2 linked regions of the Callithrix jacchus genome follow. The protein of the gene in region 1 purifies or fractionates together with the protein of each later gene. This does not show direct contact. Links are inferred from orthologs where the notes say so. Each region holds a gene or a part of one and is shown on either strand. Other genes may lie near its edges.

Region 1 (5,029 bases):
TTTAAGCTGCAGAAACAGGCACTGAGTCCCAGGGAGACAAGGGAGCAGTACTCAAGGGCCAGGAGTTCACACAGAACTCAGAAAGCCAGAGCAGGCCTCTCCCCGAACACAGAACCTGAGGCTCCAGGCTTTGCTCAACTTTGGAGTTACTTCCTCCCTGAAACAGCTGGCCTCAGCCCCTGGCTGGAGAGAGGAATGAGGTCTAGCAAGATGTGTGGGAGATATTATTCTAGCCTTCATCTAGCAGGGGACCCTGGGATCAAAGCATTTTACTGCTCTTTCCAGCTTGTTTTTAAAGCCAACTTACCAAGATGCCAGCAATTTCTCACCCTTTGCCTAATAGCTCCTAGAGAAGGCTAGAGGCCATAGGGGAGTTTCCTCAGAGCCAATATTTCTGCCCTGGGAAGGTCAGATGCAAATGATTGTCTTGGGCAGGCTTCAAAGGGAAATTCAGTTTCCCAGGAGAGAATCCTAAGAATGCAGGGGCTGACTGAGCTATTGGTCTCAGAACATGCCTCTATGGGCGAGCTGCCACCTCAAGCCCCAGTCATGGGATCCATTCCCTGGGATCCCTAACAATCTGTGGATCAGAGCAGATTCAGAAGTAGAGACTGCTCATATCAGCTCCCAAACCTGGTGAAAAGCAACAGAAATGGCTAACTTCTGGCCCTCGTGTTTATTTTGCCCCACCAAAAAGAAATTCCCTTCCTCCCTCTTTTCCTCCAACCCCCAGTGGGTTTCCCGTCCTCACTGTGGCTTCCAGATCCTCTGTCTTGTTGCGGAGATGCTCCAAGTTTTCCCCTCGGGCCAGGATCCGCTCCACATTCTGGGTCATGATATTCTTAACTCCCTCCACCTCACTCTGCAGGTTCCTTACGCGATCATTTCCTCCACCTTCACTGCCTTCCTCCTGCACAGCAACATGGGGTTAATTAGAACAAGTGCTGGGGGAACTGGAGAATTGGCCTCAGAGGTCTGGGGAGTGTAAGGCCTCAGGCAGACTTTAGCTTTTTGTAAAATGCTTGAAATGTTTACAAAGAGAATGTTTTCATGTATTGTGTAATAAAAAATAAATGCATTTGTAAGCCTCAGAAGGTGAGATGTGATGCTAAACAGACTGGATCAAACTCCTTTTTGGGCCCCTGACAAGGAAAAGCAGCACATCACTAAATCCCTCCCCACTGCTTCCTTGCTCCCTAAAGAGGGCCATAGAATACAGCAGAGCCGCATTGCATCTCACAGTGTTCCCCGCCAGGGCAGAGCCCACCACTATTTACAATGCCTGGAGCCACCCCCCCTTTCCTGATTTCTCTGGATCCTCATTGAAAGTGTCTGTGCTAGGTGTGGTGGCTTGGCCTGTAATCCCAGCACTTTGGGAGGATGGGGCGTGTGGATCATGAGGTCAGGAGTTTGAGACCAGCCTGGCCAACATGGTGAAACCCCATATCTACTAAAAATACAAGAAATAGGCCGGGCGTGGTGGCTCACACCTATAATCCCAGCACTTTGGGAGGCCAAGGCGTGTGGTTCACAAGGTCAAGAGATCGAGACCATCCTGGTCAACAAGATGAAACCCCGTCTCTACTAAAACTACAAAAATTAGCTGGGCATGGTGGTGCGTGCCTGTAGTCCCAGCTACTCGGAAGGCTGAGGCAGGAGAATTGCGTGAACCCAGAAGGCGGAGGTTGCGGTGAGCTGAGATCGTGCCATTGCATTCCAGTCTGGGTAACAACAGTGAAACTCTGTCTCAAAAAAAAAAAAAAAAAAAAAAAAAAATATATATATATATATATATATATATATACACATACACATACACACACACACACATATATATATATATACACACACGCATATATATAATAGCTGGGTATAGTAGCAGGTATCTGTAACCCCAGCTACTCGGAGGCTGAGACAGGAGAGTCGCTTGAACCAAAAAGGTGGAGGTTGCCGCGAGCCAAGATTATGCCATTATACTCCAGCCTCGGCAACAGAGCCAGACTCGAGCCAAAAAAAAAAAAGAAAGTGTCTGTGCTGGCCAGCAAAATATCCTCACCTAGCCCAACCTATCTGTCCCTCCAAGACAGCTGCTGGAGCCCTGCTCTGGCTACAATGCCATTGCTGTGACCCAGAGCAACAGGCAACCAAGTCCCCCAGAAGGCGCCAGGAACCGTTGAGCCACACACTTCTGCTTTCCCCACCACTGGGCACCACGTGCAGGTACCAAGGAACTGCCTGCTTATGCAGATGCTAAATAAAAACACCCATCTTGGCATTGGGGGAAATGGAGGACTAGTCCTCCCTGGCTGATGTCTCATCTGGGAAGCTTCATGACCAAGTGTTTGAACAAGGAGAGAAAAATACTATTAAGCTCCTCCCTCCTTGACCTCCAAAAACAAGCCAGTGGCACGGGTCAGAACTGGATTATCACAGAGAACCAATTTCTGGTTCTTTATAAACGCTTAGTTCTCTTCTTCACGTTAATGGAGAAAGGACACCCGAAGGACTCCGTGGACACACAAATCCCTTGTGTTTCTGTGTGGGAATAAAGTGAAAGGCCCGAGACAGCTCCTGCCACTGGGTTGGAATCTGAACTGGGAACTGCTGGGGCGCTGCCTTGTAGCGTCACAACACCCGCCTCGGGGCTCCCTGGAGGAGGAAGGCGTAACAACTATTTGCCTGGAATTCGGAGCCCCGTCGGCACCAGCACCGAAGCCCAGCTCGTGACGAGCACAGAGGTCAGGGGAGGGAGGGAGGGAAAAGGAGTAGGAACACCTCCCAGGACGGCTCAGAGCTATTTGCAGCCAAGTTGTCAAAGAGGAGAGGCCACAGGCAGCACTGGCCCAGCCCTCTAACTTTGCCACCAACTCTCCTCCCCCATCACAGTTAACCCCCGGTCCCGAGCCCCCTCTGGCCCCTCTTTAAAACAGCCCTTTCCTCGTTCCCGGTTCTCTCACCATATCTCAGAGCAGCTCAGGCCGGTCAGCAGGTGAATTCGCCTCGTCGGCTTCCTCCTAGGGTGGCCCTCGGCTCACTTCCTGCTTGCTCCAACTTTCAGCCTGCCCCCGCCCACCTCGCATCTCGAGTCGCTCCAGCCACACCTAACTCAGGTTTCCCCAGGTAGGCGGGCACTCTTCGCAGTCTCCCAGTGGCTTCCCAAACAAGAGCTTAAGCTTAAAGCAAAAGGGCTCTCAGATGCCAAAGGTCTTCTAACTTGTCAGGAATTAGAAAAGAAAGATCAAGCAGCCCTCCTAGGTTTTCTGAGGCTGGACCTCCTGATCTAGAAAGAGCAGCCATATCTTTTTTTTTTTTTTTAATAGAGACGAGGTCTCATTGTGTTGCCCAGGCTGGTCTCAAACTTCTGGGCTCAGGCGATCCTCCCACCTTAACCTCCAAAGTCCTAGGAGCCATGACGCCCCACTAGCGATTTCCTTTTTATATCTTGAATATCTGACTCCAGTTTCTAGACACCGAGATCAACCATGCCAGGCCTAGTTCACAGGGAAATAGAATGCAGTTATGAAAATTTCTTGCTGGACAGCTTTCGTTCTCAGGTCCTTGGGTGGCAGAAAGCACTAAAACCCCTGAAGTCTGGAATACTGTGATCCTGGGCTCTGATGTCAGAAAGCTCTGGGTTATTAGTTGCAGGCCCCTGAGTGAAACTTTTTACCTCTGCGGAGTTGGCAGGTGTTGATGCTTAGCTAAGATGGTGCTGGTAAGAAGCAAAAAGAGGTCTGGGTGCGGTGGCTCACGCCTGTAATCCCAGCACTTTGGGAGGCCGAGGCGGGCAGATCATGAGGTCAGGAGATTGAAGCCACCCTGGCCAACATGGTGAAACCCCGTATCTACTAAAAATGCAAAAATTAGCCAGGCATGGTGGCACAAGCCTGTAATCCCAGCTACTCGGGAGGCTGAAGCAGGAGAATCGCTTGAACCAAGGAGGTGGAGGTTGCAGTGAGTCGAGATAGTGCCATTGCACTCCAGCCTGTGCAACAAGAGCAAGACTCCGTCTCAAAAAAAAAGAAGCAAAAAGATAGCATGTGCAGTGCAATGCCTCTAGCACAGTGTCCGTAATGATGGCTCACCAACAATCCCCTTCTTCCCTTCCAGAGTTCAGCAAATCTGCATTTCCCTTCAGGGGACTCTGTGGAGGTCATTTATCCCAGTCAGTGATCAGAGGACTGGCCCAGTGGACCACAGCAGGGGGCCCAAGGCAAAGGATTTTTCCACTAACCTGGCTCTAGGCCAGAGAAAATCTGTTCTTCCTTGACAGTGTTTATCAAGACGGAAGAACAATAACAGGGACATTCAGAAGGGAACGAACATTCTTGACCCATTCCAGAAGAAATCAGTTCCAAGGAGGAAATGTCAGCTTCCCCAACAAATACTTTTTTTGTTTGTTTATTTTGTTTTGTTTTCTTGAGATGGTCTCCCTCTGTCACCCAGGCTAAAGTCCAGTGGCATGAACTCAGCTCACTGCAGCCTTGAACTCCCAGGCTTCAGCGATCCTCCTGTTTTAGACTCTCGAGTAACTGGAACTACAGGTGCAAACCACCATGTCTGGCTTTTTTTTTTTTTTAACTTTTTGTAGAGATAGGGGCTTTACCACCCTTAGAATGTTGCCAAGGCTGGTCTCAAACTCCTGTTCTCAAGTAATCCTCCCTCCTCAGCTTCCCAAAGTATTGAGAATATAGGTGTGAGCCACCACATCCAGACTCCAGACACAAATACTTTTTTTTTTTTTTTTTTTTTTTTGAGACATTTCTCCCTTGTCGTCCAGGCTGGAGTGCAATGGTGCTATCTAGGCTCACTGCAGCCTCCACCTCCCAGGTTCAAGCGATTCTCCTGCTTCAGCCTCCCCAGTAGCTGGGACTGCAGGAGCACACCACCATGCCCAGCTAATTTTTTGTATTTTTAATAGACACAGGGTCTCACCATGTTAGCCAAGGTGGTCTCGAACTCCTGACCTCAGGTGATCTGCCCACCTCAGACTCCCGAGTACTGAGATTACAGGTGTGAGCCACCATGC
Region 2 (5,005 bases), on another chromosome or scaffold:
CCTCCCATTTCAGCCTCCTGAGTAGCTGGGATTACAGGCACCTGCTATCATGGCTGGCTAATTTTTGTATTTTTGTAGTGATGGGGTTTCGTCACATTGGTCTTGAACTCCTGGCCTCCCAAAGTACTGGGATTACAGGCATGAGCCACTGTGCCCAGGCTGAGCTGGGTTTTAACAGGAAAAGAAGAGCTAAAGCCCTTCACATAGAATCAGATAGCACTCGACAATTTCCAACCTCATCATCACTGAAGTTTAGAGCAGGGGATACCTATAATGATCTCTCCATCCCCCTAGTTACCCACTGTACAGAGGGAGATCAAGGCTTAGAGACAGGAAGCGATTTCCAGAAGTCCATAGCAACTCAGTCCCAGGAATCTAGGCTTCCTGACCAGGTCATAGCAGAAAGGGTCCATTCCTTCCCCTACTTGTACCTTCACAGAAGCTTCCTGGAGAGCCCTGGGTTCCAGGAGTCCATTATTCATTCCTGGCTATGCTGAGACTTGCTGAGTGACCTTGGGGACTCCTCCTAGAGAATGTAAGTTTGACGAGTGCAGGAATTTTTGTCTATTAGTCCCTGATATGTCTCCAAGTCTAGAACAGTGTTTGGTCCATAGTATGTGCCCAATAAATATCCATTAAGCGAATTAATGTTGCCTGTAATCCCAGCACTTTGGGAGGCTGAGGCAGGATTGCTTGAGCCCGAGAGTTCGAGACCAGCTTGGGCAACATAATGAGACCTCACCTCATGAAAATTTTTAAAAATAAAAAACGAGTGAATATCTAGATAGCCAGGGTTAGGGAAGTGTTACAGTCAGAAAGTCTGAAACCCAAAGAAGACCAGGAAACTGGGGGCTTTATCCTGAGATACATGAAAGGCTAAAATTTTGTGCACAGTTATTTACAGAGGGCCCATTATGTGCTTGGTAGTGAGCTAGGAACTCCCCAGATTCAGTTAAGAACGAAGTCATGACCTGATCTCAGATGTAAGGTAGGGGCTGGGGGGTGTGAGTGGTAGGGAGGCAGCGTGCTCAACAATACAGACACTTTTCTTAGCCTGAGCTGCCCTGACATGGTCTGACTGCTCAGAGGTGGTGAGTGCAGCCGGGCTGCCATGTTCAAGGAGGGCGCCGGCCGCCCACCTACCAGAGGCTGCGCCAGGAGGATGCGGGAGATTTCTGCCTTGGGTGAGGTCACCTCCCACCCCCAGATTCCCTGCTCACACAACCCTGCAATTTTCTGACGCTGACGGCTCGGATATTATTTCCCGATTTTCGAGGTCCCATGATGCTGACAGCCCCAAATGCTAAGTGGTCTGCCCACGTTCCTGGACCCGAAAGCAATAAAGGCGAAGTCATCAAGGGTACACCCACCCACTGCCTCAAAAGGCCTCTGGGGGTGGTCGGCGCGCCCCTCCCCACCTCGCGGGGGCTGTGTGGGCGTCGTTCGGTCGCTGGGGTGCCGGGGACTTCGTGATGAGAACGGCGTCCCAGAGACCGCGGTGACAGAGCCGGGACACGTGACAGTCACAGCGTCACGTTCTGCGGTCCGCGAGTTTGGGAACGGGCTGGTCACGTGATGCAGTGGGGGCATCATGGGGTGATATGAGATGCGGGTGTCTCGGCTTACGTACAAATGACGTACTCCTACGCCTTTTGGCAACCAGATTTCCGTTGGAAGTTGCAACGGTTCCGGTGAGGGGGGCGGGTTCTCGCGTCCAGGCAGCTCCGTTTCCGCTCGGGGCGCAACAACTTCCGACTCCGCCTTCCCCCTCCGGCGAGGAAGAGACGCGACCTTGTGCGCATGCCCCGAATTTATCACGGAGGGGCGGGGCTGAGGCTGAGAGAGCAAGAGAGGGGAAGAAAAGGGAATTCCAACCTGTGGAACCTTAGTGGTCCCCGGGGTCGGCTCCTTCCCATTGACTGTGGGTGGTGCAAGGGACAGAGCGTCTGGCGGCTTGTGGGGGTGTTGAGGTCCGCACCGGGAGGGAGGGGAGTGTCAGAGTGTGAGTGGGGTACGGGAATTCCAAACTTGAGGGCCTCCTGGCTCAGGCGCCGAGGAGGGAGAGCTCAGGCCGCCATGCGGGACAGGACCCACGAGCTGAGGCAGGTGAGACATGGGGGCAGTGGAGATGTTGAGGGGCGGACGAACTGGAACGCAGGACTCCTGATCTTCAGGGCGGGGAGGGATGGCTGATGGCCAGGAAGGAAAGTCCCGGAAGCCTGTGGGTCGTGCGGGGTGAGAGCCGCAGCGAAACAGTGGTACCAATGACTCCGGGCCTCGCAGGGGGATGACAGCTCGGACGAAGAGGACAAGGAGCGGGTCGCGCTGGTGGTGCACCCGGGCATGGCACGGCTGGGGAGCCCGGACGAGGAGTTCTTCCAGAAGGTAAGGGGCTGGGGTCTCTGCCTGGATTCGCGAGGGGGTAGGAAGACCCGAGGACCAGCGTGGTCTGGAGTACCCCATATCTCTTTCAGCCCTCTCGGTCACCCTCCCCAGGTCCGGGCAATTCGGCAGACTATTGTCAAACTGGGGAATAAAGTCCAGGAGTTGGAGAAACAGCAGGTCACCATCTTGGCCACGCCCCTTCCCGAGGAGAGTGAGTGAAACTCCGACTGCAGGGCGCATGCACCACCTTAGGGATTGTGGGGGTTGTAGTCCCACATAGGTGATTGCCAGGGTGGTTTGTTGAGGTGGGAGCTGCTGTTCGGAGTCGTGGTCTTCTCTTATTCAGGCATGAAGCAGGACTTGCAGAACCTGCGCGATGAGATCAAACAGCTGGGGAGGGAGATCCGCCTGCAGCTGAAGGGTGAGCTCCTGGGACCTCAGACAGATCCTTCCCTTTGATCCTGCCCTGTTGTTGGTGTATCTGGGGAGTGTGTGGCCCAGAGAAGCCGATGATATAACCAGGTCACACAGCAGGCCTGGGTCTAGCATCTCTGTCTCCTGGCCTCCAGGCCATTGTACTCTCCACAGGACAAGCCGGCCTCTCAGGTTCTTTTATTTACAATGTAACCATTTACTTACACAGTTATTGCAGCCCACTGGGCATTCTTTGGGCAAGAGGATGGGGTTTTGTTAGGTGGCCTCTGCATACCTATGGGAACTCAGTGATGTAATGCAAAGAAAAATAAACGTACTTTCTCCTCTTGGAGGCTCAGCCTTAGTCATTTTATGATAAATTATATTTCCCTAAAAATCCATGGAAACAAGTACCCCCAGTACTCCATGTGTCTTCCCACAGCCATAGAGCCCCAGAAGGAGGAAGCTGATGAGAACTATAACTCCGTCAACACAAGAATAAGAAAAACCCAGGTGGGTTTTTTTTTCTCAGAAATGAGGACATTTCAGCAAATGTTTCATGAAGTACTGGATGACAGATGTATGAAGGAAGGGCCTGCAGAGATGGTGGAGTCCAGCGGAATGATTTTCCAAATGGGGAAACTGAACTCAGAGAAAGAACTTGCTCAAAGTCAGGAAACCAGGTCTCCTGATGCTTAGTCCGATTATAATACCCTGCTTTATTTTCTTTCATTCAATAAGAAGTTGCTATGACCCCAGACAAGACCTAGGTTTGGCTGTAGGGACACATGTTTCTTTTACTTTTTTTGCCTCAGCCTCCTGAATAGCTGGGATTACAGGCAGACATCACCATGCCTGGCTAATTTTTGTGTTTTTAGTAGAGATGGGGTTTCACCATGTTGACCAGGCTGGTCTTGAACTCCTGACCTCAGGGGACACTCCTGTCTCAGCCTCTAAAGTGCTGGAATTATAGGTGTGAGCCACCATGCCTGGCTGGGACACATATTTTCTAGGAGTCAAGATGAGGAGTTCAGGTTCAATAAGGACAAAGACATTACTCACGTAGGACTTGGTGATAATGGTGCTGCCCAGGGAAAGAGAGAAGTCATAAATGACTGGCAGCTTTCCTGCCTATGTGACAGGGAGTCCTTAGTCCCACAGGCAGAATTCAAGAAGGCAGGAAGAGGAACTTCCCTGGGGCGACACTGAAGAGGAACTTCCCTGGTGTGATATCTTATATTTTTAATTATTATTTTTTTGAGATGGAGTCTTGCTCTGTCACCCAGGCTGGAGTACAGTGGCAGGATCTCGGCTCACTGCAACGTCTACCATCTGGATTCAAGCTGTTCTCCTGCCTTAGCCTCCCAAGTAGCTGGGATTGCAGGTGTGCACTACCACACCTGGCTAATTTTTTTATATTTTTGGTAGAAATGACGTTTCACCATGTTGGCCAGGCTTGTCTTGAACTCCTGACCTCAAGTGACCTACCTGCTGTGGCTTCCCAAAATGCTACGATTACAGGTGTGAGCCACTGTACCTGGCCTTTGGGGTGATGTGACTGGCCCTCTCTGGGTCCCCAGTGAAAAGTACTTTAGGATTCTAGGAGGTCAGGGTTGGAAGTTAGGCCCAGGGTTGGAAGTGAGGACCCCAGATTGAAGATGGAGCAACTTGGGCATCTTGGAAGGGTGCAGCCGGATCCAGGAGAGTAGATGTATCTCTGGAAACGAAACTCCAAGGAACGAACATATTTAAGGCCTCAGGAGAAGGGGCAAGGCAGAGCAGATGACCTATAGCCAGTGCTTCTGGGGTAACCTGTGGTGCTGATTGGCATGAGAGGTCAAGGGCCCATGTGGGCTTGTTGCACCTGTTTTGCCTGGGCGGCATGTTCATCTCTAGGCTTATGAGCACAGTTGTGGTATAAGCAGCAAGGTTGGCATTCAGCAAGTGCCAGACCCTTTTGGAACTGTTTAGGATACAGCAGTGAACCAATGATCCCTTTCATCATGGAACTTCCATTCTGGTGTAGAGAAACAATCACCATAATACATAAGTGAATTATTTAGACATAATAAGCATTATGGAAAAAAGAGCAGAGGAAGAGGGACTGAGTATGCTGGAGAAGAGTACAGATGCAATTTAAATCAGGTGGAAGAACTTCATTCAGAAGGTAACATTTGAACAAAAGATTTAAAGGTGTTTGTGGAGA

What was found. The genes of interacting proteins can lie anywhere in the genome.
Region 2: the proteins of VAMP8 (region 1) and STX4 purify together in Homo sapiens (affinity purification with western blotting; 3 studies listed by BioGRID and IntAct, with this or other methods). This does not show direct contact. The link is inferred for Callithrix jacchus from reciprocal best matches to the Homo sapiens genes VAMP8 and STX4.

What each region holds. Positions count from the first base shown.
Region 1 is NC_133515.1:27,446,488-27,451,516, forward strand, and holds the start of VAMP8 (vesicle-associated membrane protein 8), read right to left. Parts: upstream 3,022-5,029; 5' UTR 2,961-3,021; coding exon 2,958-2,960; intron 911-2,957; coding exon 752-910; intron 1-751. UniProt on the Homo sapiens protein: SNAREs, soluble N-ethylmaleimide-sensitive factor-attachment protein receptors, are essential proteins for fusion of cellular membranes.
Region 2 is NC_133513.1:30,559,951-30,564,955, forward strand, and holds the start of STX4 (syntaxin-4), read left to right. Parts: upstream 1-1,807; 5' UTR 1,808-2,076; coding exon 2,077-2,106; intron 2,107-2,283; coding exon 2,284-2,385; intron 2,386-2,474; coding exon of another isoform or gene 2,475-2,496; coding exon 2,497-2,596; intron 2,597-2,731; coding exon 2,732-2,806; intron 2,807-3,241; coding exon 3,242-3,312; intron 3,313-5,005. UniProt on the Homo sapiens protein: Plasma membrane t-SNARE that mediates docking of transport vesicles. Necessary for the translocation of SLC2A4 from intracellular vesicles to the plasma membrane.